Linked DNA regions of Arabidopsis thaliana. The protein of the gene in region 2 interacts with the protein of the main gene of each other region in a pairwise test. Each region holds a gene or a part of one and is shown on either strand. Other genes may lie near its edges. The genes, in order: HON4, NAP1;1 and AT5G10400.

What was found.
Region 1: the proteins of NAP1;1 (region 2) and HON4 interact in a two-hybrid assay, tested with the Arabidopsis thaliana proteins (one study listed by BioGRID).
Region 3: the proteins of NAP1;1 (region 2) and AT5G10400 interact in a protein complementation assay, tested with the Arabidopsis thaliana proteins (one study listed by BioGRID).

The regions. Positions count from the first base shown.
Region 1 is NC_003074.8:6,165,030-6,175,770, forward strand, and holds HON4 (winged-helix DNA-binding transcription factor family protein), read right to left. Parts: upstream 6,977-10,741; 5' UTR 6,530-6,976; coding exon 6,320-6,529; intron 6,234-6,319; coding exon 5,352-6,233; coding exon of another isoform or gene 5,280-5,351; exon of another isoform or gene 4,897-5,279; intron 4,809-4,896; coding exon 4,743-4,808; intron 4,640-4,742; coding exon 4,355-4,639; 3' UTR 3,934-4,354; downstream 1-3,933. Other genes in the region: AT3G18020 (Pentatricopeptide repeat (PPR) superfamily protein), read left to right, coding at 420-2,486; HAL3A (HAL3-like protein A), read right to left, coding at 2,854-3,147, 3,265-3,600; MPK9 (MAP kinase 9), read left to right, coding at 9,444-9,788, 10,466-10,741.
Region 2 is NC_003075.7:13,227,826-13,238,698, reverse strand, and holds NAP1;1 (nucleosome assembly protein1;1), read right to left. Parts: upstream 6,132-10,873; 5' UTR 5,988-6,131; coding exon 5,942-5,987; intron 5,820-5,941; coding exon 5,776-5,819; intron 5,581-5,775; coding exon 5,485-5,580; intron 5,325-5,484; coding exon 5,232-5,324; intron 5,080-5,231; coding exon 4,989-5,079; intron 4,896-4,988; coding exon 4,834-4,895; intron 4,745-4,833; coding exon 4,560-4,744; intron 4,422-4,559; coding exon 4,244-4,421; intron 4,166-4,243; coding exon 4,122-4,165; intron 3,985-4,121; coding exon 3,795-3,984; intron 3,690-3,794; coding exon 3,672-3,689; coding exon of another isoform or gene 3,639-3,671; exon of another isoform or gene 3,269-3,638; coding exon 3,197-3,268; 3' UTR 2,791-3,196; downstream 1-2,790. Other genes in the region: AT4G26120 (Ankyrin repeat family protein / BTB/POZ domain-containing protein), read right to left, coding at 212-513, 596-799, 885-1,623, 1,694-2,254; CK1 (casein kinase 1), read left to right, coding at 8,191-8,266, 8,361-8,401, 8,550-8,619, 8,712-8,860, 8,952-9,047, 9,140-9,210, 9,317-9,378, 9,498-9,561 and 6 more. UniProt on the Arabidopsis thaliana protein: May modulate chromatin structure by regulation of nucleosome assembly/disassembly. Contributes to the regulation of cell proliferation and cell expansion. May function in nucleotide excision repair (NER). Involved in somatic homologous recombination.
Region 3 is NC_003076.8:3,267,162-3,275,713, forward strand, and holds AT5G10400 (Histone superfamily protein), read right to left. Parts: upstream 3,797-8,552; 5' UTR 3,728-3,796; coding exon 3,317-3,727; 3' UTR 3,011-3,316; downstream 1-3,010. Other genes in the region: AT5G10370 (helicase domain-containing protein / IBR domain-containing protein / zinc finger protein-like protein), read left to right, coding at 1-27; RING1 (RING/U-box superfamily protein), read left to right, coding at 658-1,563; AT5G10390 (Histone superfamily protein), read right to left, coding at 1,904-2,314; AT5G10410 (ENTH/ANTH/VHS superfamily protein), read left to right, coding at 4,791-5,203, 5,318-5,921; AT5G10420 (MATE efflux family protein), read right to left, coding at 6,417-6,473, 6,615-6,704, 6,818-6,936, 7,005-7,243, 7,590-7,646, 7,797-7,883, 7,976-8,229. UniProt on the Arabidopsis thaliana protein: Core component of nucleosome. Nucleosomes wrap and compact DNA into chromatin, limiting DNA accessibility to the cellular machineries which require DNA as a template.

The DNA.
Region 1 (10,741 bases), on a different chromosome or scaffold from region 2:
AATTACGATAATCATTCATAATTTCATATGATCAAAATTATGGCTTTCTTCAAACGTCAAGTACTTTTTCTGAGTTGCAAGCTTGTTATCATACGTGATTTCGCACGCACTCTGAATCATTACGTTTCTTTTTAACAGAGATATTTTCAAGCATGATTTTTTTTCTTTTCACACTTTTATATTCTATTTATTAGGTAAATTCATAAGAATAAATGAAAGATTTTGGTGGAAAAATAATCACATTGAGTGAACTTAACTAATATACAAAATAAATATAAAAAATTGATTAAAAAGAACTCTGGGCTTATATAAATCAGACTTTGGCCCAATGAAATCGGATTAGGCCCAAACAAGCTATAAATGTCTTGTCGTATAAAAACCGGTTTTGAAAGAGAGAAACAGAGATTGCTACGAAAGTTATGTTCTTCGTCACTCGTCTGCGACTACGAGCCAGAGAAAATGGCTTCTTCTTCTCTAAATCCCTCTCTTTCTCATCTGCCTCCGTATTGAAATCTGATGATGTCGAAGGAGAAGATGATGCAATAGAAGCAGAAGATCGTCGACGCAGTGTAACCGATAGAGCTTACTGGAGAAGACGGATACACAGTATCTGCGCCGTACGGAGGAATCCTGACGAAGCTCTTCGGATTCTAGACGGACTCTGCCTCCGTGGGTATCGTCCTGATTCGCTTAACCTCAGCAGTGTGATCCACTCTCTTTGTGACGCCGGACGATTTGACGAAGCTCACCGTCGGTTTTTACTCTTCCTCGCTTCAGGTTTTATCCCAGACGAGCGAACCTGCAACGTTATCATCGCAAGATTGTTATATTCGAGATCTCCGGTGAGTACGTTGGGAGTTATACACCGTTTGATCGGTTTCAAGAAGGAGTTTGTGCCATCGTTGACGAATTACAACCGTTTGATGAATCAGTTGTGTACGATCTATAGAGTAATCGATGCGCATAAGCTAGTATTCGATATGAGAAACAGAGGGCATCTCCCAGATGTTGTGACTTTCACAACTTTAATCGGTGGTTACTGTGAGATTCGAGAACTGGAAGTTGCTCATAAAGTGTTCGACGAAATGCGTGTGTGTGGCATAAGGCCTAATTCTCTCACATTGAGTGTTCTTATTGGTGGGTTTTTGAAAATGAGAGATGTTGAAACAGGACGGAAGCTGATGAAGGAACTATGGGAATACATGAAGAATGAGACTGATACATCAATGAAAGCAGCAGCTTTTGCGAATCTCGTTGATTCTATGTGCAGGGAAGGGTATTTCAATGATATTTTTGAGATTGCAGAGAACATGTCACTATGCGAGTCTGTGAACGTTGAATTTGCTTACGGGCATATGATAGATTCCTTGTGTCGATACAGGAGAAACCATGGAGCAGCGAGGATTGTTTATATAATGAAGAGTAAAGGGTTAAAACCGAGAAGAACGTCATACAATGCTATAATTCATGGCTTGTGCAAGGATGGTGGGTGTATGAGGGCTTATCAGTTGCTAGAAGAGGGATCTGAATTTGAGTTTTTTCCGTCTGAGTATACTTATAAGCTCCTAATGGAGAGTCTATGCAAGGAACTGGACACGGGTAAAGCCAGGAATGTTCTAGAGCTGATGTTGAGAAAAGAAGGAGCAGATAGAACTCGAATCTATAATATTTATCTACGCGGTCTCTGCGTGATGGATAACCCGACTGAGATCCTGAACGTACTGGTCAGTATGCTTCAGGGAGACTGCAGGCCTGATGAGTATACACTTAACACAGTTATTAATGGATTATGCAAGATGGGCAGGGTGGACGATGCCATGAAAGTTCTTGATGATATGATGACAGGGAAGTTCTGTGCACCAGATGCTGTGACTTTAAATACTGTTATGTGTGGCTTGCTCGCTCAAGGAAGAGCAGAAGAAGCTCTGGATGTGTTGAATCGCGTTATGCCGGAGAACAAGATTAAGCCAGGTGTTGTTGCATACAATGCTGTTATACGTGGGTTGTTCAAGCTCCACAAGGGAGATGAAGCTATGTCTGTGTTTGGTCAGCTGGAAAAGGCGAGTGTGACTGCGGATAGCACTACATATGCAATAATCATTGACGGGTTGTGTGTGACTAATAAGGTGGATATGGCGAAGAAGTTCTGGGATGATGTGATATGGCCATCAGGCAGACATGATGCGTTTGTGTATGCAGCATTTCTGAAAGGGCTTTGTCAGTCTGGTTATCTAAGTGATGCTTGCCATTTCCTATATGACCTGGCAGATTCTGGAGCAATCCCTAATGTTGTGTGCTATAATACTGTGATTGCTGAGTGTAGCAGAAGTGGGTTAAAGAGAGAAGCGTACCAGATTTTGGAGGAGATGAGGAAGAACGGTCAGGCTCCTGATGCTGTTACATGGCGGATACTCGATAAACTACATGATTCTATGGATCTAACTGTGGAAAGAGAGTTAATTTCAAACCCTGCAACCTCAGGATAGACTGTTTCAAAAGCAATAAAATTCATGTTTTGGGGCTCAAGGATCTTGCATTTTGATATCACGATCACTGGTAAACGTAAAAAAGTGGGCTTGTTTGTTTCTCTGTGAAATTTTTGCTGGCAAATTCAAAAGTTCAGTGAGCTATTAGCAGAATTGAAGACAACATTTAAGAGCGAGGAAAAGAAACATAGACATTTCTACAGAAACAGAGTGGAGCTAGTAGTGCAAATGGTCCTCCAGATACATCAATCCAGACAGCTATTTTGAGATGTACAAGAAAAGCAAACAGACTGATAAAATCTACTATTATCTAAGATAGTGAAAACAGATGATTTTCCACAAAATGCATGTTGTGGAAATCATGGTTTTAACTAGTTCCACCGGTTTGCTGATGAGCCTGAGACTCCCAGAAGAGTCTGACAGTGGAATAGATAAGAGAGGGCTCAGCCATAGCTCCATTACCGTAGTCTCCACAGGCAAGTCTCTTCTTGATAGGAGGAATAAGTGTGATTCCCAGTTCATCAAGAGACAAAAGATGCCTTTCAGTGAAAGGATTGTTCCACATCAAAGTATTCATAGCTGGAGCAACAAACAGTGGTTTGGTATAGTCCCAAGCTCGTATAATGCAAGTCAGAAGATTATCACAAAGCCCACCAGCAATCTACAAAGGTACAACAAAAATATATTGTATGAATTGAATCCTCCATGAATGTTTTCACAAGTCACACAATTGAATCTAAGTAGTTGGTTTAGGGTTTTCGTCGATTTGTTAAATTACCTTGCCTAAGGTGTTAGCAGACAAAGGAGCAATGACTAAAACATCAGCCCAACGTCTAAGCTCGATGTGAAGGACAGGATCACCGATCTTGTTCCAGCTAGACCATTCATCTTCATCAGTATACAGAGTCACTTCTTGTGGGAGAGAGAGTTTATCGAGGAAATGTAGAGATGATTTCGTAACGACGGCTCTGACTTCTGCCCATTCGGTGAAGCAATGGCAGAGATTGCCGAATTTGATAGCAGCGACGCTTCCACTTGCAGCGAGTAGTACACGAGGCTTCCTCGGTGTGGTATTCACTTCCATGTCTTGTCTGTCTCTTTTCCCATTCTCCATAGCTCTTTTACACCTTCAGAGATCTAGCAAAGTAGCCAATGGTTCGGCGAAGAACCCTAACCGAAAAATTGATCTGGTCGAAGAGAATATCAAAATGTTTTAGAGGGAAGAGAAAGAGAGAGGCCCGAGAGGACAATCATTTTAGTTGCTGGTCAAATGGGCCATTGACTCACTCTTTTTTAGGCCTCGGTCGTATGGGCTGTGAATATCGATATATTTCATTTTATATTTACTTCGTTTGGACTGCAATTTCGATTCTGAGTTCGACTGTTGTGTTAACTCTAACATGTTTTCGAGTCAAAGTTATATAGCTTTTTGAGCCAACGTGAGATGGAAATGAAGATATTATTAGTAAGAAATTAAGTAAGAGTCGACCTGCTAAAACCGTTGGGTGGAAAATAGACACGAAAACATCTCCACAATGTGCAAAGCGGAAGCAGAGAGCAGAAGACAGATTGAAAAAAACAAAGGCACAGACGCAATAAGAGATTATTAAAGATGGAAGACTAGAAACATCGCTAATTTACAGCCACGTCTTATGGTTTGGTTAAAGACACACCGACAACAACACCATTAACGAGTCTACTATTTCTTCTTCTGCAGACAACAAAACCTAGAAAAATTAAAATTCCTTATAGATTTTTATATAATTTAAGATGCGATTCCAACACCTAAAACAACTAAAAAAAAACACTCCTAACGCCAAACACCAAGGCTATTATGTCTAGGTTGTTTTCTAGATCATTATTATTCTTCAGAACAGAGCTTCTTGCATTGCCTCTGCTTCTGTCTGGGTCTGTGTTTCTCCTTCTCTTTCTTGTCCTTCTTCTTGTCCTCCTTGTGTCTCAGCAGCTTCAGTTTGTTGAGCTTCAGTCTGTGGTGCTGCAGTCTCCTCTGGCTGCACTTCTTCCATAACTTGTGGCTCAACGGTCTCCGTCACTGTTAGTGCTTCCAGATCTTTTATGGCTTGCACCACTGCTTGATTCTCACTTGTAACTCCATCCTTCAACACCTTCACAATTTCTTTCACTTTCTCTTGCTGAAATCATTTACATACAAAAACCAAACATAAGCAAGTAGAATCGAATACTTTAATCAAATAAAGGACAGCCAAACTGTTTATTGTCAACAAGTAGACTTACAAAAATATCAAACTTCTTCTTGAGTTCTCCAGAATCTTGTGTCCCAGTCGTGACTGATGTTCCAATCTAGGTTCATGAACCAAAAAATAAAATTGTTGGATAAAAGTATAACATATTCAAGAAAGACATTAATGGTTAAATTAAGAAGTCTTACTTTAGATCCAATTGAACACGTTACTAGTAAAATAGAAGATACAGAGAAGAAGACACTATGTGATGACTTAGAAACCATTAAGCCGGATTAACACACTAATTGATGATAAAATTATTCCTAGCTATAGCGATACATTACCGACTATTTTGGTCTTAATTATCCAAACGAAAATTAAAATAAAACAGAGAAACCAGATAAGGATAAGCCAAAAGTAAGGGACACGAAAATATAATAAAAACACTAGATACTAGTCAGATTTTGGATACGCGAAAACAGACAACAATGCTCAAAAGCGGAAAGTGACATTGAGTTTGAATTCCACAATGATTGCAACACAAGTATCAAACTTTATCAATCTAAATTGACGGCGGAGCAGTGAACAATCATGCACAGTAAACGTCAGATATTGCAAAATCGAGATCACGAATACAGAATTGGGGGATGTGAAAATTTACCTTTCTGGGTCTACCTACAGGACGTCCTCGTCCTCTCTTAGGCTTCATAATAAGCCTACTGATAACACCACCAATCTTAGGTGGTCGTCCACGTCCACGCTTCATCCCTGGCGCAACCGCTGCCACATTTTCACCACCTACTGGAGCAACACTAACAATACTGCTAGGGTCAACAACTCTCCTAGGCCTTCCTCTGCGTCTAGCACCATTAGCAACATAAGGATACACAGAGGCAGTAGAAGAAACGGATTTGGGCTTCCTCTGTCTCCCAGCAGCTCGACGACCCGGTGGTCTACCTCTACGTTTCATAATTCCAGCCATAACCGAAGCTTGAACGATTGGTGCAGTAGCAGGAGCAGCAGAACCGTTCTTCCTTGGACGACCAGGTCCTCTCTTCGCCGACTCTGTAACCGGAGTCGGAACCGGAACAGGTGATTGAACTTGCTGCTGTTCCCAGATTGGCTGTCCGTTAGCCTGGACTTGATTGGTCGGTGGAAGTTGCTGTAGTGGTTGTGGTTGAGATTCAGGTTTAGGCTTAGGAGGACGACCACGACCTCGTTTCAGAGGCTGAGAAGCAGAGCCAGAAGCCATGGGATCGTTGTTACTTGAATGGAGAATCTCAGATCTGGGAACATCGAGACCTTGAGCGGCGGCAGCAGCAGCAACAGCTACACTAGCAGGAGGAGTAGAAGAACCAGCAATTTTGTAAGATTTCTTAACCATAGAAAGAACACCACTGGTCTTCAAAGTCTTGAGATGGTGAGTCAACAAAGCAGCATGAGCAGAAGTTAAACCGGTGTAACATCTCTCGATGTATCTCGAAATTGCCATCTTGCTCGAACCATCCGGTTCGTTTAACGCCGCAATCGCAGCGCAAATCATCTACACACAGAAAAAAAAAATTAGTAACAAAAAAAAAAGTAACTGAATTTAGTTATAAAGGAAGAGGCTTTTAAGATTGAACTTACTTCGGAGTAAGGAGGGTGGGGCATTGAAACATGTGGAGATAACTGAAACATCTGCGGTTGCGGGATTTGCGTTTGCGTTTGCGGCTGCGGTTGGAAGACGACATGGTTATTGTACGGATTTGGTCCTAAAGGATGATGATTGGAGGTGGGAAAATGAGGAAAAGGGGTGAACTGAGGAGGATGATGAGGATCACCAAGAGATGGATCCATGGATGTGAGATTTTTGCAGAGCAAAGAGAAGAGAAGATACAGTAAAAAAAAAAAAAAGAACAAAAAAAAAAAAGACAGAGGTGGAAGGTGAGATTTAGATTTAGGGTTTTTTTTTCTTTTTTTTTGTTTTTTGCTCTGAGAGCTCTTTTGATTTTTTTGTTTTTGTGAAAATAAAATTTTTGTGAGAGAAATAAATAAAGTTAGGTTGGGGAGAGAGAGGCGGAGGAGTAGAGACGAAAGGATGAGAAGAAAGATTACTATTAAATCTAACCGTTGATTTGTTTTCTATCGACGGTTTTGACGAGGATCGATGACGTGTCATATCATTTTGTCTTTTATTTTAAGGATTTTGTGTTTCTTTACTTTGATTTTTTTCATTTTTGCCTCTTAGAATTTTGCTACATTTTCGCTCCAATGTAATAAAAAATCACCAAAATTTTAAAAATGGACCGCCAAAATTTTAAATTATTTTTCTGAAAAGAACTCCTCGCTTTCAGTGTAAAACAATTTTGTTGATTTTAGAATAACATCGAATGAAGTATATAGCAAACACTGTTACATTAAGTAACCCATGTAACAAACTCCATTAAAGAGTGTATGATAAGTAAGAGATGTATTGAGATGAGTATGGCAAAACAAATGCAATTACTAACTTCTATGTCCTCTGTTTAGGATTTGAAATCGATACATTTACATAAAATTTAGTTTCAAATTTATATTTTCTGTGAATTTTGTTAGAGTATATATCTATTTGCGACCCTTTAACTTAATCACAAAATGATACATCAAATATGTTTTTCATTAAGGAAAAATTACAAGACATTAAAATATTTTTAAACAGTAATGTATGATATTTACATTTGAATTAAATTTTAACTTTAGTTGCATTTTAACAAAATATTTGATATATATATATATATATATCTATATATATATATATAAATGTACGACGTAAAACAAAAATAACAAATAAATGTAAACCTCTTATTATAGATGATGAAAGATAACTTTATGAAAAAAATAAAATATGGAAAAATATATTTACCAAGTGCTAAATACATTTTTCTTTTGTCTTGTATCACAAATAAGCGTGATATATTTAAAAGAATAATTGAAATATTAAATGATGAAAGATAAGTTTTAAAATTTTCAAAATATGGAAAAACATGCAATTAGTAAGTATTGATTGCAAATTTTAATTTGTTTTGTACAAAGAAGCGTTATTTATTTAAACATTATAATAAAAATGATAAATAGTGAACGATGAATTTAAGAAAATTTAAAATATGAAAAACTAGAATTTATAATTGTTTAATGCAAAATTTATAACAAACAAGCATTTTTAACGGGTAATGTAAAGGATACAAAGTGAGCGATAATTTTAAAGATATTTAGTGGTTTTACATATAGTTAATGTTTTTTTTTTTTTTTTAGAAGAACTTTTTTTTTCATTTGACATTTTAATATTGTTTAATGAACTTTTGTGTATTATATGTGTGGATTCAAAAGGGTAGTTGGATAGATTTCACCATTTGAATTTTGAAGTAGCAAATCTCAAATAAAATCAATGGGACTAAGAACAATTGATAAATCTATGGGGGAACAAGTGTCACACCTATCTCCTTGGTAAAGCCAGCCCATACATCACGGTACCCAAAAAGAATCATCCAACAAGAGAATTGTTGGTACATATTACTGACATTACAATACGATATTATAAAGAGTACAGTACGTTTATGCTTATGCATTAAGCGCAAGTAAAACCCGATATATGCTCATCATTCAAACTCCAAGTATCACCTGAGTCGTGTCGTTTTCATACAACAATTTATGTATGCTCATTCTTTTAATACTAATATATCTGTGTTGTGATGTGTGCATGCGTGTGCTCGAATACTTTCAAGCAAGGGTCAAACAAAGTGCGGCTGGTAATAGACGATCAGAAGACACAATCACCAGACACCAAGTAAGCAGATGACAAAAGACGATCACCACACCAGAATTCCAACAAAACAAAAGATTATGATATGTTTTGTCGCCTCTGATATGTCACACTACACAGTACACACAACCTCTTATAAACAACACTTTTAACGGGCCGAATTATCAGCCTTCAATATAATGTTTACTTATGTGATGGACCTCAACATTACATGGGCCTATCTGTTGCATAATTAACAGTTTTAAGACCCTTTTATTTTTCTCTCGAATTTGAAATGATTTGTTTATGTTTTTTATTTAAATGTTTTTGCATATTTGGTTGGGTCCTCTCGAGTCACACACGACCGGAGACGTGCATTAGAAGAGTTACAGAGCAGACATTTGCTGGCATCTTACAATTATCTCAAACATAACCTTCTTTTATTATTAGGCTATTGGCCCTACCCACCACCACCATTTTTATTTTCTTTTTCTCAAACACGCTTTTTGAATTTCAATATTATATACTGTCCTTATCAAAAAATAGTTATACGATTTGTTAATTTTGTTAGCCTAATTTTTCCTAATCTGGTTATGTCACGGACGCAAGTTAAATTCATCTGCGGTGTTTTTAGGTGTTATAAAGCCATGTGAATGAAGTTAATTAAAAAAAAAGCAATGTAAATAGTCAAACATGCCCTTTAAGAAAAAGAGAAACACACGCTTCACGTGAGTCGCACGTGCCAAACCCACCTTTCATCTTCTTCTTCTTCTTCTTCTTCTATCTTCCGCATCCTTCGGACAAGAGAACCAAACCAGCCAACAAAAAATAATAGTAATGGAGAGTCGAATTAGAAAGAGAGAAGCACGCCATACCTGAGAGATTCGTGCGTCGACGACGTGAAAATCATTATTATTTACTAATAATAATTGTTATTGTCAATCGATGATAATTAAATTAAAATTAGTTTAAAAGTGGTGGTGGAGGTGTTTGATGGGTGCTAGTCACAGCACCAACGTTAATAATCATCCTCATTCTCGGAATGCTTCTAATCATCCTCTGACCAACAGTAACAGCACCAGCTCTCGTCACTCTGCTTCATCAAGTGATCGCTTATCTGTTAGTAATTTACGGTCTCAGCTCACAACTATTTACAGAAATCAGGAAGAAGAGGAAGAAGAAGAAGAAGAAGAAGAAGAGGAAGAAGAAGGAGGAAAAGAGAAAAGAGCAGAAGAAGAAGCGAAAAGTTTCTCCCTTGTTAGAGATTTTGATTTGTCTGGTTTGAACTGCATTAGGGTTTCTAGAAGGAATTATATTCTCATGGATCCTCATAAAAAGGTTCGTTTTTGTTCTCTATGTAAACGTTTTGGGTATTGCTTGCTCATATGGATCTGTCGTTTCATTTATCTGTTTGATTTCTCCAGATTTAGAATTGATTTTTGGACCTCGTAGGTTTTGTTGCCTTTTGTGATTATGAGTTTCTGTTTAATTTCTCCAACTACATTGGACGGGGAACTGTAGCAAATCATTGTTTAATTACTGGGTTTTAGTTATTAGATTGAAAAGGTCAACACTTTTTGTGATTCTTATCCAAAATTTCTGGTGTTTATTTGCTTGGGAAATGGTGGAAAATGCAAAGCCATCTCTGATCATTTGGATCTTTTATGTGGATTTGGTTGCTTCATGTTCATGATTTTGCATTTTTCGCCTCGGCTTTATGCCCTCTGGAATTATCTTACTCTGTGGCAACTTACCTTATATACGTGATCTGAATTTTTTTTTAGAAGTAGTAGAAATGCTACATTGTTCATTTGGTTTCTTCTTGATTATGTTTCCTTTGCATCGGCTCTTAACTGGTTTATGATTCCGTATAGTCTCACCCTGAATCTATGGTACCTTATAAAGTCTAGAAGATACATATGATCTGTAGAGTTTGGAGAACTAGGCAAAATTCTTCTCAGTTTTCATATCTTTCTATCTAAAATCTGTTTTGGTATATAATGCTACTATTTTAGGTTGCACTGGAGACTGAGTTCTTTACAGAATACGGTGAAGCTAGCCGATACCAAATCCAAGAAGTTATAGGGAAAGGAAGTTACGGTGTTGTGGCATCTGCAATCGACACACATTCAGGCGAAAAGGTTGCCATTAAGAAAATCAATGATGTGTTTGAGCACGTCTCTGATGCAACGCGGATTCTAAGAGAGATCAAGCTTCTCAGGTTGCTCCGCCATCCTGATATAGTGGAGATAAAGCATGTAATGCTTCCTCCTTCACGCCGTGAGTTCAGA
Region 2 (10,873 bases):
TTGGCTAAAAATAACTATATTTGTTTGAAACGCACTTGGAGCTAGAATACACATGATGCTAAGTGAAGAACGAAAACTATACAACGCAGTCACGTAGATGAAAAACTGATATATGTACGTTTCAATTTATTTGAAACTCACGAAACATCATGATATAGGACATACATCATTTTTAGTTGTGGGAGTGAAATGGAATATGATTTCCCATTCCTTAATCCCCGTTCCCGTAAGGTCGTTTCAAAAAATCCCGTTTGTCCACTTTTAGGCGCCGGTGAGAGAGTTTTCTATTAGACCTCACCGCAGAGGTTGGTTTCGGTGTGGAAGACTTTCCACATTCCTCCTTGTCCTCACTAAAGGTCTTCATCAGAGTCTCTTGTAGTTCCATGTACCTTTGCTTCTTTTGTAGCCGTTTCTCAGGAGTATCTTCTTCTACGCTAGCAAGATGATTCAAGTCCTCAGTATCCATAAAGTGATCAAGCGAACATCGTTTGAAGTAGCGTTTCCCCAGTTCCACTGAAGATACAACAAAATAAAGTTCTAAACATCATTTCTTTGTTGGCTAGAAAAGAGATGACATATAAGAATCAATCCATACCGGTTTTACAAAGTGCTCTTAGTCTACTCAAATGCTTCTCATGGATTTGGAACGGCGCCATATTTAGGTCTAGTGATGTCCGCTTTTCACCAATGTGATGATCAGGCTCGAGACTAGAAGCTGTAAACTCGCATGTTTCCTCCAATTTGGCAATACCCTGTACAGTTTCAGTTTCCACTGGAAAGAGAAGTCGAGCAAGTGCAACTGAAAAGTATAGACCATCGTTATCATTAGTTCCACTCATTTTCCTACCCGAAATTCGATATTCAAGTGAAGGAAGAAAGCATACCTCGGTTTTCATAATAGAGCAACCTCATCCTCAACTCCTCTGGAGTTACTGGAAGAGAAAGTGAAGCCTCTATAGGCGACAAATATTCTAGTTTTTGTTCATGCTCAAGTACCTCTATGCATAATCCGCCTTTCAGAGAAGGCGTACCGTCCTCCGTACTAGTTTTGTAGTCATCCGCTTTAGTGAGTCGTTTTACAATCACTAAAGCGGTTCTACCATCCAATGTTGTGTCTAAAATATTTGCCCCTTTCATTAACAAAGATATTATCAACTTCGGCTCCTTCCGCATCGCAGCAACATGAAGCACAGTGTATCCCCTCGGATTTCTAAGGTTAACATCCGCAAGCTCAAGCTCGAGGAGATCATACGCGGTCTTCACAGCGCAGTGAGCGATAGCAAAATGAAGAGCATACGCCTCATCGAGATTGGTGTGTCCTTCTAGCAAAAGCATCTTGACAAGCTCAACATCATCTGAGTCTAGCGCCTTGTATATGTTCTTGACATGCCTTTCTAGTTTAGGTGGCTCTAGACAGAGCGCTTCGCGGATGTCTATGATTTGCTTGAAAATGTGTTGAGGTAAAGACTTCTCAAGACTAACTAGTTCTATATCAGACTTCACGATAATTTCTATGCATCTATCCAAAAGCTTCTTGTATGTTGTACCACATAGAGTATCAAGCTTGAATATAACCAAGATGTCTTCGACTACAACTTTGTCTACAATTTCCAAGAACTGCCTCTGAAATGAAAACAGAGGAGACTTAAGATGATGTTATGAGTCAATGAGAATTTAGTGGATTGTGTTTTACCTCATACAGAGTAACTAATTCTTGAATCTGGAAAACGAAAGACAGATAAAGAACCTCCACCATGAAATCCACCTTTGACCGGCAAGCCACGTGGCAACAATCGTCGTCTACGCAAGCAGAAGCTCCCTTCGGCGGGGACCTCACTCTGCCGCTGTAAACATACGCCAAAACCGCCACAACCGAGTCAAAGCCGACTTCGTAATCTCTGGCGATCTCTTTCAGCTGGAGCTTCACGGTGGTGGAGGATTTTTGTTCCTTCACGGTGGCTAAAGCGCTTTTGAAGACAGGAATTCTCGCGGAAAGAATACAACGGTGAAAAGAAACTTCCCGGCCGCCGGCGAGAACTAGCTTAGCATCGCTGTAGAACGTCTCCGGCGAGTCGAAAACAGACTCGAGGCAGTTAGACAGAAGTTTAAGAGCTGATACCTCCGGTGGCGTGAGAAATTCCGTCGGATAATCAAGAGATGACTCGGCGGCGAAGAAGCTATTGCCGCTTGTGTTGCTGAACTCGTATGAATCAGAGAATCTAGCGGTGGTGGTGGTGGTGGTGGTGGCCATCATCACGAGATCGGCGGGAAACAAAACAGAGTCAAGAGTCTAATAACAGTGGAATTTCAAGAAACAACGACCGAATCGTTTCATTAGCAAATAAAAAAACGTATCATCAACAACGGTCTTTCTCAAGCACCTTTATTAGTAAATTTCTTGGAAACTAGATAGGTTTCTTAAAACGGAATATATTACGTCAAATACTCTGAATGGTAACGAAGCGGTCCCCTCTTCGCATGTCTCCAATTTACCAAACAGTGTTGCGACTTTTGAGTTTGTTTTTCATAACACCAAACACAAACAAGTGTCTCAAGTTTATTTAGCTAGCTTTTTTTTCCCCTCATTTAGCTCTAATGATGCATTAAACTTCTTAAGTAGTATGTGATTAGTCCAAATTGTGGATGTTCGGAACCTCACTTTCTTTGTGTTTTCCTTCTACAATAATTTAAATTATAATTAGTGTTGAACAAGCGGAGGCATTTAGTCAAATTACTCATCTTAAAGGTGAACTGATTTCGACCGATTTAGACTTGACTAATATAATATGGTCATAGTCCAATTATTCATCTTTTGTAGTCTTACACAACAAAATGGTTACCATTGAAAATCAAAGGACGGTGAACAAAAGAATAATGATCATTCCCACTACCCATTACTATCTAAATGGTTATTAAAATCTCTTTCGTCGACAAAGTTTAGGTAGGGGATGAAGTAGTGAATGCAGAGACTAGGGATGATGATGCTTGATTCATAAATTAAATACCAAGGTATATTATTAAAGTGCTTTAGAGAAAATAAACACACCAATAGAAAAACGAACGAAACTCCTACAAGATGAATTTCACTTTTAAAAATCCCAAAACCTTTTCTCAATCCTCATTCTTGATGAACAGAGAATGACCTGAATTATATTTTCACGCAATCCTTTTATGTCTGGTAGAGCGTAGTAAAAGATTACTGTTGCTTGCATTCGGGTGGCCTCTCATCTTGTTTACCTTCACCAACTATCTGAGATCTCCCTCCCTTCTGCAGTCCAAGAGGAAAAAAAAATTAAGCAGATGATTCTCACATTTATCACAAACATAGACACTGATTGCTAGTTTGCTACTATAGTAATAAAATGAATTCATGAGAATGGTTCTATCTCGTACTGCCCATGCCATGATTAAAGAGCTTGTTTAGTCTCTGCTGTGTCATTCATGTATCCTTCTCAGAGTCTTCTACGTAACTACCTATTTACTGATTCATACTTTTTAGGATTGCTCAGTTACTTTCAGCAATCTGTATGATTCATGGGCCTCTAGAGCCTACATTTCCGATATTAATTTCTATTTTCATCACAATGCTCAGCCTGAAACTTCTTGTGTTTGGTTATTTGAATGTTGGAGTTCCAAAATCAAATAAACTTTAGTTCTGAAAGGTTACATACCTTGTTGCCGATTGATGGCTGCAAAAAAAAATATTAAGCGATTTCAAAGGATTAGTAAAAAACTAACGTGGCATGAAGAAAAAAAAAAAAAAAAGAAACAACTATACTTGGGGCACTTTATACCTTCTTTTTGGTCTTGCTTTCTTCTTCATCCTCATCATCATCGTCCTCCTCATCCTCTTCGTCTTCCTCATCTTCATCCTCATCAATGTCATCTTCCTCATCGTCATCTATTTCAAAATCCTCTGCTTCCATAGCCTCACCAGTAAACCATGAGACAGCACGAGGAATAATCTTTTCCCGAATAGTAGATCTGCAGAAAGTAAAAAGTACTTGTGATCAGATAATAATGAAAGGGTAACCACCTTGATTGCAGTGATAAAGTAGTCCCATGACTCAAAAGCAAACCCATAAAATCAACAGAGAAAGTGTGTTTAGAAAAAGACGAACCCGATGTCATAATCTTGTTCCATCAGGTTTTGAAGATCCTCAGCCTGCATCAAAGAACGAGAAAGAGTTACTAAATACATTAACTAAATGATGACAGGTTTTTCTAACAATCGTTATCTTACTCTTTCCTCGTCGATATCTTCATCTTCATCCGGAACTTCTGGAGGACTAAAGAAGTTGAAGAAGCTTTCACAATCTTCGAGTTTGGTGATTGGTTTAGTATTCTTTGAACCTTTCTTAGGCTTCTTCTTGAGAATCTTCTGAGTTAGACACTTTCCAGGATACCAATCAATTTCTGTCCTGAAAATGAATGGTGAAAGAATAAGAATCCATTTGCAATATAAGCGAAGAAAAAAAATAAGCAGCTCAATGCAATCAGCTAATAAGCAGAATATACTTAAAAGTATACAACAATTGCAAGAGAGTATAAGTAGTTACCCCATAGCCTTCTCAAGCAGTGGCTCATCTTCATCAATCATATGATAAGACTTTGTCAAGACAGTGTTCTTAAAATACGGATTCGTGTCAAAGAAAAACTCAAGTTTGAATCCTTTAGGCTCTTCAATCTTGCACCACTTAATATCTTTAAGATATTTGAGAGCCCCTTCATCACGCTCTGTGACCTGACATAAATGACAATAAGTTATGCTCATATTCCATGGTTATGATTGGAGTGTTTATAAAACGAACACCAAAACTGCATATAGGCTACCTCCTCGGAAATAACATCGTTATTTTTCAGAGCTGTCAGCCAGAAACTTGGAACTCCTTTCTCTGCAATGAAAAACAGAGAAAAATGTTAAATTGTTTTTGTCTTTCCAAAAAGATTAACAACAAACAAAGAAGACATAGTGCTCATGAAGTTACCTTCTGCAGTTTTCTCCTCTCCTTGGTCCACCTTGGTATCATCCTCTGGAGCCAGTTCAACTTCAGTAGTGCCATTCACAATCTCATAACGCTGTGCCATTACAAGATACCAAGTAGAATTCATTAAGATGCACATAGAAAACTAACACTGCTGCAGATAAGTAAACATAAGCAAAAAGAGTATACACAGATCTACATTGAGTTTAGTAAAATGGTTTGTAAAACTTTCTCATTAACAATTACCTTGACATACAAAGGCTGATACAGCGTTTGATACTTGGCTTCAAGAATAGCTCTCTCCTCACGGAATTTTGCCTCTAGTTCATCATGTTGGCTCTGCGTGGAAAGAAGTCATCAGTAATCAAAACGCAACACCTTACTTTTGAAACTTTAAATTCAGATAAGCAGGGAGAAAACTCACACAAAACAAAACAAACCCCATTAAACGATATATAGCACACATAGTTTGGTAAAATGTGAAAGAAATTTCGCTAACCTGTATATCCCTCAAGGCATCAACGCGCTTTCTCACATTGGGAGTCAGATTCTCGAGCACATCAGAACGCTGACCAGCCAGATTCTGCAGCTTGTTCTGTGAATTAATAACAATGTATTAACAACTCATAAACTATCATTGTACTAGAAGAATGACATTGAAACCAAAACACTAAACACCAAGACACGGCTTATAGTATCTAAACAATCAGAGGAAAGTAACTCAACATCCTCCATATCTTTCAATAGCAAATGCTCACGGGACAGTTTACAGAAGGGGAAAAAAACTCACCTTTAGAGCATTGACAAGGCCAGCTCGATCCTCGTCCTTAAGAGCTGCAAAAAAACAGTAAACAAAAGGAACACCAGTCAGATAACAGAGGAAATTAGGGTTAAAGCAGCTCTGGCTTAAGAGGCGGAGAAAGAGATAAGAGTAATCGTGAGTAGGAGTATTTTACCAGCAGTAAGATCGGAGACGTTGAAGCTATCCTTGTCGTTGCTCATCTTCTGAGGATTTGGTGAAGAGAGAGATTTTGAAGAAGAAGAAGCAGAAGAGACTAGGGACAAGGGTTTTGGGGAGGCGACTCGTAACCCTTAAATCCTCTTTGTTTTTTTGTTTTTTTCTCTCCCTCCTTTTCACACCAAAATTATAACAAATGCCATTTTAGTTTTTTCTCTTTTTATATATACTTTTCTTTCTCTAAAAATTGATGTTTAATGTTTTAAAAAGCAAAATTAAGTTTATTGAATTAAATAACATGCAAAACTTTACATACATATATATATGGATAATGAGAACTGACTTATATATAGATAATTAAAGTTTATTTATGAATTCAATCAATTATAAATATATATAACTAATATATAAACTTTAATTATCTATATAATTAAAATTTTGCATGTAATTATATTAATTATCTATATACTTATATATATATATATACACTTATATATATTTGATTCTTCACCAAATACAGTACAGGTTAGTGAACTTTAATGGGATCAAATAGAAGATTTCTGAATCTGTTAGTACTAAGGCCCATCCCAAGAATGAGCCTTCCAAGCCCAATACACTGATTACTTCTTTTGTTCACATACACTGTACATACTAATTAAAAACAAAAAACAGTCCACAACAAAAACAAAAAAACAGTCCACAACAAAAAGTCATATCCCAAAAGGCACAAAGATCTTTAGTTTGGTTTAAGCTCATCCCGAGTTCAAACGAATTAAACGTACTCTAATCTAGATTAGCTCATCACGACATTTTCAATTTGAAGTTTCAACCTTTTATACGTCTGACCAGAAACACAATAAAGAAGCCTCACGCGTAGCATTTTTTTTTAACCAGAAAACCATGAGACAAATTCAACCTAATCAGATAACTGTAAATCATTTCATTCATCCTATTAAAAGCAAAGGTGAAAAGCTTTTTGTACCTCCACGACTCCCACTTAAGAGAAACATTTTGTAGAGCTTTCAAGTCACGCGTAGCAAACACACCTGGTAAGTGGTCAATCTTTTTATATCATATAGCCATCATAAGAGTATCATTAATAGTAGTTTCTTAGCATAATCTTAATAGTTCTTATGAATATTTTTATAATTGATTTTGAAAATTTTGAAGTTAAGAATTTAGTTAAGAGATTGAAATTTTGGCAATATGCAATGGTGGACTCTTAACTTGAGTTCTTAAAAAAAAAATTGGAAAAAAAGTAGAAACATTATAATTTTAAAAAACTTAATAATTATTACAACTCAAAAAATTTGAAACATACATAACATAAAATTTTAAACAAATATGACAAACAATTAGATTTAATACTTAATTTATCTAAGAATTAAGATTAATTGAATTAAAACATTATATTTAATACCTAATTTATCTAAGAATTAACCTAAGAAACATTAGATTTGGCTCTTATATAAGAGTCATTTTTAACAATTAATTGAATTATAACATTAAATTTAAGACCTACTTTATCTAAGAACTAACCTTATAAACTATGAATAATGATGGTCTAAGCGCGCTTGTTGTTGAAACTCTCAAATAAACCGGATAATTTTAAAACCAGGTTTAGTTTAGTTGGTAGATTCGGCTCAAATAGTAGTATTTTTGTGGATTTAAAGATGCTCAGCATGTATATACATATGTGTTCTATAGATGTTTTACACATTTTTTCTATTTTACTATTCTGCTTGCCATAATCATTAGATTGTTTGGTTGAACCGAAGCATAGAAACCAAACCGAACATAGCACACAGCAACAAAACCGGAATCATTCAGAGGTAAATAATTTTTTTACATTACCCGCAACTGCAAGGAAAGAGGAAAAAAAAAAAGACGCAAACTTTGAGAAAGACATCCTCATCGTTTTCTGTCCATCGAAGCTCTTTTTTTTTTTTTTTTTTTTTATCTTCGTATTCAATTCTTGAGAGGAGAGAGAGAGAGAGAAGCATCCCAGAAAACGACATTCTGTTCATATGGAGTTTTTTCACCAGATCGAGAGCACGAAGAAGATGATTACTGGGTTTTGATTTAGTCGGCGAAAAATCCGTAATCTCATTGTTCGTGATCTCTGGGTTGTTTTTCTGGATTGCTGGTGCGGCTGATTCTAGTCAGGATTGTTTTTGGGGTCCCTTTCGCTCTATTTGAATCTGCGTCTGGGTTGTTAAGATTGTACAAGGGGTTTCGTGGTTATTTATGGAACCTCGTGTGGGGAACAAGTTTCGTCTCGGCCGAAAGATCGGTAGTGGTTCGTTTGGAGAGATCTATCTCGGTTCGTCTCTCTCTCACTTTCTAGTTTTTAATTTTATGGATTATCGAATTCGTCACATTATCTCTAACATTGTTGTTAACCTGTGATTTTCCAGGTACTAATATTCATACGAATGAAGAACTGGCTATTAAGCTTGTGAGTTCTTCAGTCATCCCATTTTAATAATTTGATGATCAAAAAGTTTATGGATTTATAAGTAACATTATCACAATATGTTTAGTTTGATCAAGTTCAGTATGTTGAAAAGCTGAGATTTTGATTCTCTTTGTTTTTGTTTTCCCAGGAAAATGTGAAGACAAAACATCCACAGCTGCTCTATGAATCGAAGTTATACAGGATTCTACAAGGGGGAAGTAATGATTCTTATCTTCTGAATGAGATATTGATTTCTGATAATGTAAAGTTTGTGTTACTTATGACCTTTCTTTTGCCTTAACTTTGGTAGCTGGTGTTCCAAATGTCAAATGGTTTGGTGTTGAAGGGGACTATAATGTTTTGGTGATGGATCTACTCGGACCAAGTCTTGAAGATCTCTTCAATTTTTGTAGCAGGAAACTTTCATTGAAGTCTGTCCTCATGCTTGCTGATCAAATGGTATACTTCTTCATGTGACGCCTTTCTTTCATTTGCTCCTCTATGTTTCAGGAAATATTGACTTCTTTCTTCCTTTGGTTTTTGTGATAAGATCAACCGTGTTGAGTTTTTTCATTCAAAGTCTTTCCTTCACCGAGATCTTAAGCCAGACAACTTCCTCATGGGCCTTGGAAGGCGTGCGAACCAGGTTTATCATCTTATTGTCTTAACTATATCCTTTTGGTCTTATTTTACTTTTGGAGACATCATTGTATTGACCAAGTTTAATCCTTCTCTAAGGTATACATCATTGACTTTGGTCTTGCTAAGAAGTATAGGGATAGTACAACACATCAGCACATTCCCTACAGGTGAGGCGATCATTGTATCAGCTCTTGAATGTTCTTCCCTTGAGCATGATTCCGTTGTTATGTGATGACTGGAAACGCTAATTTTTCCCATGATTCTCATTTGCAGGGAAAATAAAAACCTGACAGGAACTGCGAGATATGCTAGTATGAACACTCACTTGGGAATTGGTAAGCTCGACAAGACCTGCTTCATGTTAATTTGTTCCAGTCACTCTCCTTATGTGTTTGAGTTATAAGGTTTGATACTCATCAGCTGTTATTTGTTTTCTGGCATTGCGAACCTGAAGAACAAAGTCGAAGGGATGATCTTGAGTCTCTTGGTTACATCCTTATGTATTTCCTCAAAGGAAGGTGAGTTTATGCTACATGCCTCACACTCTCTTCACTTTATTTCCCTAACTTCTTCAGTTTGATTGATGTGTGGAATATCTCTGTTTTAGTCTTCCATGGCAAGGACTGAAAGCTGGAACCAAAAAGCAAAAGTATGAAAGGATTAGTGAAAAGAAAGTTTCTACATCCATTGAGGTAAGTTCATTTCACAAGTATGCTACATTTTTACTCAGATTTTTGTTTCCCTCATTCTGATTCGTATATGATCGCCTTACACCTGCAGGCTTTATGTCGTGGTTACCCATCCGAATTTGCATCCTATTTCCACTACTGTCGGTCGCTTCGGTTTGATGATAAACCAGATTACGCTTATCTGAAAAGAATATTTCGAGATCTCTTTATCCGTGAAGGTTTGATATTTCCTTCCCTCTCAATTTTTAAGCCTAATATATTTTCTAACAAGATTTCATTTCCCTGTTGCAGGGTTTCAGTTTGATTACGTGTTTGACTGGACAATCTTGAAATATCAACAATCACAACTAACCGCTCCCCCATCTCGTGCCCTCGTAAGTAAAACTTGAGTTCTTGGTTAAACTATCTTTTTTGGTTTGACATTTTCTGATGGAGTCTCTCCTGCTTCAGAATCCTGCTGTGGGAACTAGTGCCGCATTGCCTCCGGGCATTTCCAACATCGATAGATACACAGGTAAATTTCCCTGATCACTTACAACGTAATTCTTATTTCTCTGCAAAGAAGTTATTATTCACATTGTTTGTTGTTCATTGTTGAATCCAAGGGGAGGAAGAAGGGCGACCACATATGGAATCATCTCGACGGAGAGTTTCAGGGGCTCTTGATAACTCAGGGAATATTTCGAACCAACCGACATCCTCAAGTGCTAGAGACTCCATGGTATGAATCTCTCTGCATTTGCTATCTCTCTCACCTGCAAACATGAGTTTGGGTCATATGTGATTTAGTGGCTAAAAGTATCAAAACTTTGTTCAATTTCTTTTGGATGCAGATCCCGAGCTCCTCGTTGTTTGCACAATCAGCAGGATCATCGAGGAGAGTAACTGCAGTAAGTGGCAGCCGGGACAATTTTCCAGGCAGCGAGGAGTTGTTGCAGAGAAGCCGTACAGGTGACGTCAGCCGCGGCGTGATCCCGAGAAACTCTCCTGGGGAGGCTGGGAAATCCACAAGAAGACACTACGAATCAGTAGTTAAAGGCATCGATAATCTTCAAGTCTCGGACGAACACCATCCCCACTGATACATTAATTTTACTCAGTGACCTTTTTATTCCTTTTTCCGTTATTACACTACGAAAAT
Region 3 (8,552 bases), on a different chromosome or scaffold from region 2:
CATGGTGGAATCGGATTAGTCGAGTAAGGTGTCCCAGAGGACCCCGTTGCCCAGCCCGACTAGACCGGACCTATGTATCTATATTCTGTAACATCTGGTATGCTTAATGTGTACATATGTGAAGATAGTGTAGTTCGGTAGTTATACCTTCTTTAACCAACTGAAAAAACCGATCATAATCTAAACCGGATGCCAAATAAATTAAGATTGTTGTAAATGAAAGACTTACTTGACTCGCTACATGACTGATTACGCGTAAATGTCTACAGAGAGTTTACTAAGTTGAAAGGAAACTACTTCCTAACATACAGAGACATCGCCTTTAATGGCGTTATCACTTTCAGGAAATTTCCACCCACTTTCCAACCCTTAAAAAGGACAAATCCTCTCTAATTCCTAGTCTTGTAGATTGTGATGTGTGTGGCTGTGTACCCACTTATTTCCTCACGAAGATTTTTTGGGTCATGACTCTTGTCTAGATTCTAACCCATTTTGTGGGTTTTAGTGTCCTATTTCTTTTTGCTTTCATCAGAAGCAAAAACTTGGAATTGTGTGTCATACCCATTTTCCCCTGTTCTTGTTCTGTTTTCTACTAGTTGTGTCTGAAAGTAAAGTCCTCTGTTTTTGCTCTGTTTATGTCGTCTCTGAACTCCTACAATGGCGTTTAATCACAGAAAAATGCTTCTTTCATGTCTACAGTTTAAAGATTTACGCTTTTGTTTCCGGCAATACCCTCCCCCGCCACCACCACCACCGCCACCGAGGGAGCTCTCTCTCCTACTCCCCACCTCGATCTGCGTCGTCGGCTCAATCATACTCTTTCTATTTCTAGTCTTCTTCCTCTACCTCCACATCACGCAACAACGGCGGATTTCAGCCGCCAGCGTAACTCCCGGTGACACAAACCAACAGGAAGATGAGGACGAAACAGAGGAGAGAGATTTCTCCGACTTTCATCACGTTTGGCAAATCCCAACCGTCGGTCTCCACCGTTCCGCGATCAACTCGATCACAGTCGTTGGATTCAAAAAGGGAGAAGGGATAATCGACGGCACAGAATGCTCTGTCTGCTTAAACGAGTTTGAAGAAGACGAGTCGCTGAGACTGTTACCAAAGTGTAGCCATGCCTTTCATCTAAATTGCATCGACACTTGGTTGCTCTCTCACAAGAACTGTCCTTTATGTCGTGCCCCTGTACTTCTTATCACTGAACCACCTCATCAAGAAACAGAGACGAATCATCAACCAGATTCTGAATCGAGCAATGACCTCCGTGGAAGACAAGACAGTTCCAGATCTAGAAGAAACCATAACATTTTTCTTCCAAGGGCACAAAGTGATTTGGCAAACTACTGTGGCTCAGGAAGAGTAGAAAACGTGAGAAGATCGTTTTCAATTGGAGGAAGCTTATCACTTTGCGATGGTATTAACAATGCTACTAGAAGTGGAAGACAGTTCTATACCAGCTTCAGTGCTAACTTGTTCTCATCATCAAGAAGAGTAAGGAACGAACAACCGATTCCACAAAACCAAATGCCATCCGTAACTGGTAACACCAGTTAATTGGTGTAACTACATTGAAGCTTAATGTAATATCTAGTGTGTTATATACAGTATCTGAAATAAATCGAAACTTTCAATGTTTCAATATTATATGATCAACGAGCAGCAAAACCAAAGAAATTAAGGAAAATAAGTTCTATTAAACAGGAGAGAGTTTCGTTGGGGTATTTCATCGAACACTTCAAGGCTAACTAAACCAAAGTACCTAACAACTGAAAATTAAAACGAGCCAAAGCTCAACACTTACAAGAACCCATTACTACTAAAACGCAAATCAAAATCCAGAAATAGAGTTCCATTGACGAACTAAATCAAAAGATATAAACCATAACAACAGTCTTCAAGCTCTTTCTCCTCTGATTCTCCTCGCGAGCTGGATATCCTTAGGCATGATGGTGACCCTCTTAGCGTGAATGGCGCAAAGATTAGTGTCTTCAAACAAACCAACAAGGTAAGCCTCAGCAGCCTCTTGTAAAGCAGCAACAGCACTGCTCTGAAACCTCAGATCCGTCTTGAAATCCTGAGCTATCTCACGAACCAGACGCTGGAAAGGAAGCTTACGGATCAGAAGCTCAGTGCTCTTCTGATACTTCCTGATCTCTCTCAAGGCAACAGTTCCTGGACGGAATCTATGCGGCTTCTTCACTCCTCCGGTGGCCGGAGCAGATTTCCTTGCCGCCTTGGTTGCGAGTTGCTTTCTTGGTGCTTTGCCTCCTGTGGATTTCCTCGCGGTTTGCTTAGTACGAGCCATTTCGAAATCAAACAAAGACTAATCGACCGATCGAATTTTCTTCTTGTGGAGGATGCGAATGAGAAATTTTGTAGTGAAGATCAACGCAGAAGAGGGACTGCTTTTATGGGGAGAGAAATTTGGCGGTGAGGTGAAAAAAACATGGGAGGGAGTTTTGTTTTTGGAGGGAAAGTTGTATTCTTGTCCGTTGGATTAAATATTTCAATCAACGGCTGAGATCATCAGGTATAAATCCGTGTGAGACCTTATCAACGAATTAAAATAGACTAAAATTCCGGCCATCCGTGTCATTTACTATCAACCAATTTAAATCATCCTTTTCAGTCCACGTAGGCTTTTGCGCTACTTCCAAATCTTTTAATTTTAGGCGCCAAATCGAAAATTTTGGCTATGAAGGGTCTCAAAAAAATTCAATCGTAGAAAATAAGGATGAAATTATTTCAAAATTTACATAACAAATTTAGCCTGAAGTTACAAATTTCGAGAAATTACATTACTCTTATTCAGCAAATCTACGCATTAAGTAAAATAATTTGGAGGATTTCTTACTGTGATGGTATAACCAGGAATAGAACAATCTGCGAATTCTCACTTTGATTTTGTAAAGAACCGATACTTTTCTTACGTTTAGTGAATGATTTAGTTCTAAATAAGAATTTGTAGAATGTTTTGTTCATGGAGAAGAAGACTGAGAATCCCTAAGCAGCTACTATTGCAAATCAATTTGGACAATTTCATCGAGCAAAAAATTAACTCTTCCGTTGATAAACGATTCTTAAGCGTGGCAGAAATATGGAGATCGACAGAACGAATCAAAAGATTAGACAACAGTAGATTAAAATTTCCTTTAGGCATTTCATCGAACATCTGGAAGACACATCTAAGTAAAAAACTAATAACACTCGAAAACGAAAAGAGACAGCTTTACATATCCATTGAAACCAAACAAGCTAATCCATAACTAAACGACTAGTCTTCTTAATCTTCATCATCTTCGTTCACTTAAGCCCTCTCTCCTCTGATTCTCCTCGCAAGCTGGATATCCTTAGGCATAATCGTAACCCTCTTAGCATGAATCGCACAGAGATTAGTATCTTCAAAGAGCCCAACAAGATAAGCCTCAGCTGCTTCCTGAAGAGCTGCGACGGCACTGCTCTGGAACCTCAGATCCGTCTTGAAATCTTGAGCAATCTCACGAACCAATCTCTGGAACGGAAGCTTACGGATCAAAAGCTCAGTACTCTTCTGATACTTCCTGATTTCTCTCAACGCCACCGTTCCTGGACGGAATCTGTGTGGCTTCTTCACTCCTCCGGTGGCTGGAGCTGATTTCCTCGCAGCTTTGGTCGCGAGTTGCTTCCTTGGTGCCTTTCCTCCGGTGGATTTACGAGCTGTTTGCTTGGTACGAGCCATTTTAGGAGTTCGCAAGATTGTAAATTTGCTCTTTTGGATTTGATTCGGTGAGAATGCGATCGATGGGAAAGTGAGTGATGTTGTGAGGCTTTTTTATACTCAAAGGTAGAGAGGAAGTGATTGTGTTTTGTCCGTTAGATCTGTTTGGCTTATCAACGGTTAGAAATGTTTGTATCTTTACGATCCGCGTCCTGTGTTAATAACCAATAAGAATTACTTTCTCAGCATCCACGTCATATGTTACCAAAATTGTCAATGCCGAAATTCACATATACAATTTGATTTATGTGTTTATGCGGAAGAAGCCATGAATCAATTATTCTTACGGATCTAAAGCTTGACTTGACCAAATTTGTTCTCAACACATTTTTATGAATATATCATTCATGTTGACGTTAAAAAATCGTAAATTGGTGTTCAAATTTTCGAGATCTTTATTTTGTTAATGGAATTTGCTGGTGGCTGCAGTGTGGTTGTTATTACTATTACTTATATAGTTAATTTGTATTGACTTTTCTAATCTTTAATTAGATACTAGATAAATGACAATACTGGTAAACCTATTCGTTAAATATAACATTGGTAAACTTATTCATTTACAATACAAATAAAAAAAACATTGGTGTAAAGTCAATAGTCAATACAAATAAACTATATATGTAATAGAAATAACAAAGTAGTTGCCAGACTTATTCTATAACATTCCTATCAACATTTTATTTAACAAATAACAACATTTTATTGGTCTTATGAGGTTGAATATGAACTCGTCATGTTTAATATAAGTTTTATAAAATGAATGAACGACGACTTTAGAATGAAAAGATATATTACCAAATTAATAGTTGAGAAAAGTAAAATTAATCAAATTTGGATGTCGACCAAAAAAATAATGTTAATTTTGAATGATTGCAAAAGGAAACTCACGTATATAAAAAAGATTTAAAAGGAAACTATAAGAAAATGGAAAGCGAATCAAACATTGGACGCTTATAAAAATCAAATTCCAACCTCACAAAGCAAAACAGCTTCAATTTTTTTTTCATCTAGTTCCATCGAGATAATGCCAGGACTCAAAACTCACATAATCGGAAAATTCAAAGACAAAGCTTCGATAGGCAAAGCAAGATTGGTTCATAGTTTCGGGTCCACCGCCGTCAAATACATTCACTTAGCCCTCTTGAAGTCAACAACTCGTACTCCTAACAAACCACCAAACAGTGACTATGTCTCCGCTGTTATCTCTTACTCCAACAGCCGTTACGCTCCGGCGGCTTTCTCAGCGGCTCTGTGGAGGTTACGTGTCACGAAGAACGCTATTGTGGCCACCAAGTCTCTCATCGTCATCCACAAGCTTATCAAATCATCAAGAGACAAGTTTGAAGGACTAGGTCATGGTCGAAACAATCTAAAGTTGAACGAGTTTTCAGACAAATCTTCTAATCTCACGCTAGAATTGTCTCAGTGGATTAGATGGTAATTTACTTCTTCTTTTAAAAAGATTTTTTAGTTCTCTTTTTTGATTGTGATATTTATCTAATAATTTGGACATGTTCATACCGACATTTTTAAAAAAAAAATGTAACTTAGGTATGGACAATACTTGGATCGTCTCTCGTGGGTTCCGAAGGTATTAGGATCTTTTCCAAATTTGTTGGTGAATCCAAAAGATAAAGTTGAAGAGAAAGATCGTGTTTCGTCTTACCAAACCGGGTATATTATAAGACAAACGGATTCTCTTGTGAGTTTTTTTGAGCATATATGTACCAGACCTGAGATTCCGCCTATGTTCCAAAACAAGATCGTGGACGAGATTAGAGAGCTAGTGATTGAAGACTATTTCAAGATTGTGAGATTGGTTATGGTACGGCTTCAGGTGTTGTTTGAACGATTGATTAAACCGGGTGTTAAACCTATTGGTGATCTCGGTCTGAACGATTTTAGTCTGCTTTTGGTGAGACTTGTAGAATGCAAGGAGAGCTTGAGTGGATTATTTTGGCGTTGCAGACGTCTAGCGGATGATTTTTGGTGTTTGGTTGAGATGTTGAAGGCTGAAACAGAAAAGAAAAACAATAAGCAGATGATTGAATTGGCCGGTTTGGTTCAGACTACGGTTAAGGACGATGAGGAGATGATTGAATTGGTTGGTTCGGTTCAACCCGAATGGGTAACATTCGACGATTCTGATTTCTGAGACATTAACACATGAAGTTACATTGGATTCCGGATGGGTAACATTTGACGACTCCAACGGATTGACGAATAATTCGGTCTGGTTGGTTCAGTTAGGTGAAGCAAGATCCGGTTTACACATGGTAGACTTCTCACTATACGTACATAAATACCAGCTTTACGATTTAATTTGGTTTTTGTCTTGACTCTTGAGAATGGGTTATCTCGTTTTTTTTCTTCTAATTATGTTTGAATCCTTATTTCATAAAGACAAAGAAGAAGTGATTCCGTATGTAAATAAACCTTTTATGAATTATATGAAGTGAAAGTGTGCATAATTATTTTTTCTGTTATTTATAAAGAAAGCAAATCAATCCCTCCTCCGGTTTAGCCCATTTCAATCAACTAATCATGTGATATTGAAACCATAAGCTATGTGTTTTATGCAATAAATAGGATTTAGATTTACGAAACGGATGCTCCAAAATAATTTTATTTGACAACTAAAATAGCATCTTCAGTTTCCTGCGTCCGAGACCAACCATTTTTTAATGCGCACACTTGATTTATGTGCCTGCAATGTTTTAAGATTGTACACTGTAAACAGTCACTCAAAAATTCTTATATCAAGTTAAAAAGTAATGTACTAACTATGACAAAATTTACTAAAATTTTAGATGAAAGTGATATTTTGTAATATACTCCAAATGGTTACCTCATTGTCCCAGTCACATCTTGTAGTGATGATAATCAATATCAACGTTTGAATTGCGGTTCCTCCAAATATCATACCGGCCCATATTCCCTATCATCCATACACATATGTTAGTTCATCTCCACAAATATGAACATCAAAAGAAACATAATTTGCCGACATAATAATATGCCGACATTTGTTGAGAGGAAAATTGGGCAAACCTTGACTCCAAATTTGAAAATCCAGCCCATAGTAAGCCCAAACGGAAGCCCGATAAGGTAGTAACATCCCAAATTAATATATGCCACGTACGATTGCCAACCCGAACCAACAGCAACACCTTAATCAAATGTCAAAAGTCAACGCACTTTCGTTGACCTGGTTTATGAAATCAGTTTCAAGGCGTACCGGAAAGAACTGGTTGCACACTATTGAGAAGAACCGTGAAGGCTAAGAGAACAGAAAGATTATCGACTGCGTTTAGGACAGCTTCACTTGACGAAAAGATCGAGCCGATTTGGTCGTGAAAAATTACAATGATGACTGTGAAGAATAATCCAATCATTAACGATAGTGTGATTGAAACAATCGTTGCAAATCTTGCCCCTTTGCCATTACCAGCTCCTAGTTCGTTTGCCACTCGAACTCTACAAAATAGGTATTATTTGTTTAATAACTACGTTGGAGACGTTTATGTGTGCATATAATCCCGGTTTATGAACTTAGATTACATGTAGACTTTAATATTTGCTAAAACGAATACATTAAAGAAAAAGGAAAACTGTGAGTGTGTGAAATTGTGATGATAACAAGATTGTTGCAAATTGTTGTGCGAAAAAGTTTGTAGCATTAGGCCATGTTATTGTCCTTGATGGAGTAGATAGATATTAGATAACTATCATCAATCCAATCCCTACGTACGTAACTCTAAACTTAACATCCATACCAACAAAAAAAAACTCTAAACTTAGCAACCGAATAGGATTTTTTTACCCGGTTCCCGCGAAGAAGGCAAGTGGAATCATCATCTCCCAACCATTTACCGACATGCTGCACAGAGAATTAAGTTCAGTACGTTAACAGTAAAAAACGACGTCTATTTCTTTGTAAAAAAAATATAAGAGTTTTCCAACAAAAAACACAAACAACAACAAGAAAAATATGGCATAACGATTATAAGAAATAAATAAAACAACGTACCATATTGATAAGGAGTCCACAGCAATTTTCGCATTTACTAGGTTCCCGGTCATCAGCATTAGTATTTTATAGTACCAATTCTCTAAGCTGTATCGGGGCAAGATATATTGTAAGAACTCATATATGACTAAACTTTAACATAATGTGAAAGAAGTGGGTATTTGTTCGACGAATGGTACCAAAGCATGATTCCGGAAGAGGCAGAGAGTTTTGTTAATTCTAAAAGTCCGGTGAAAGCTTCTGAGGAGAAGCCGGTCCAAGTGAGTGTACAACCACCACGTGTGCTGTACAAAAATAAGATGAAGATGTTCAACCACCATGGCACGTTCACACTAGCCATAGTCCCTATGATTCCGAGTTTATAACCATAGACGAAGAACCAACACACGAGAATATGAACCGCAAGTGACACTCCAGCTGAAATTGCAATCACCTAATTATATAGATTGAAAATCAGCAAACAATAGTAGCTAGCTTCAGTGATCATGCAGCTGAAAATTTAAAAAATATAAATTATAAAAATCATTAGGTTTATGTAAAAAATTTTTTTTTACATTTTCACTGGTTTTTCTATCAATGTTTTAGGATTCCTAAGCTTTTAGACTTTTAAAAAGAACAAATCTTGTTTAGGTTTCGATTAACAAAGACTTCATAGAGAGCTAGCTTGCTTTTATATTTCCTATGAGAAACCTAATTTTTAAGGTATTACGAAAATCAATAGATTGCTAGTCTATCTCCAAAGTTTTCCACTACATC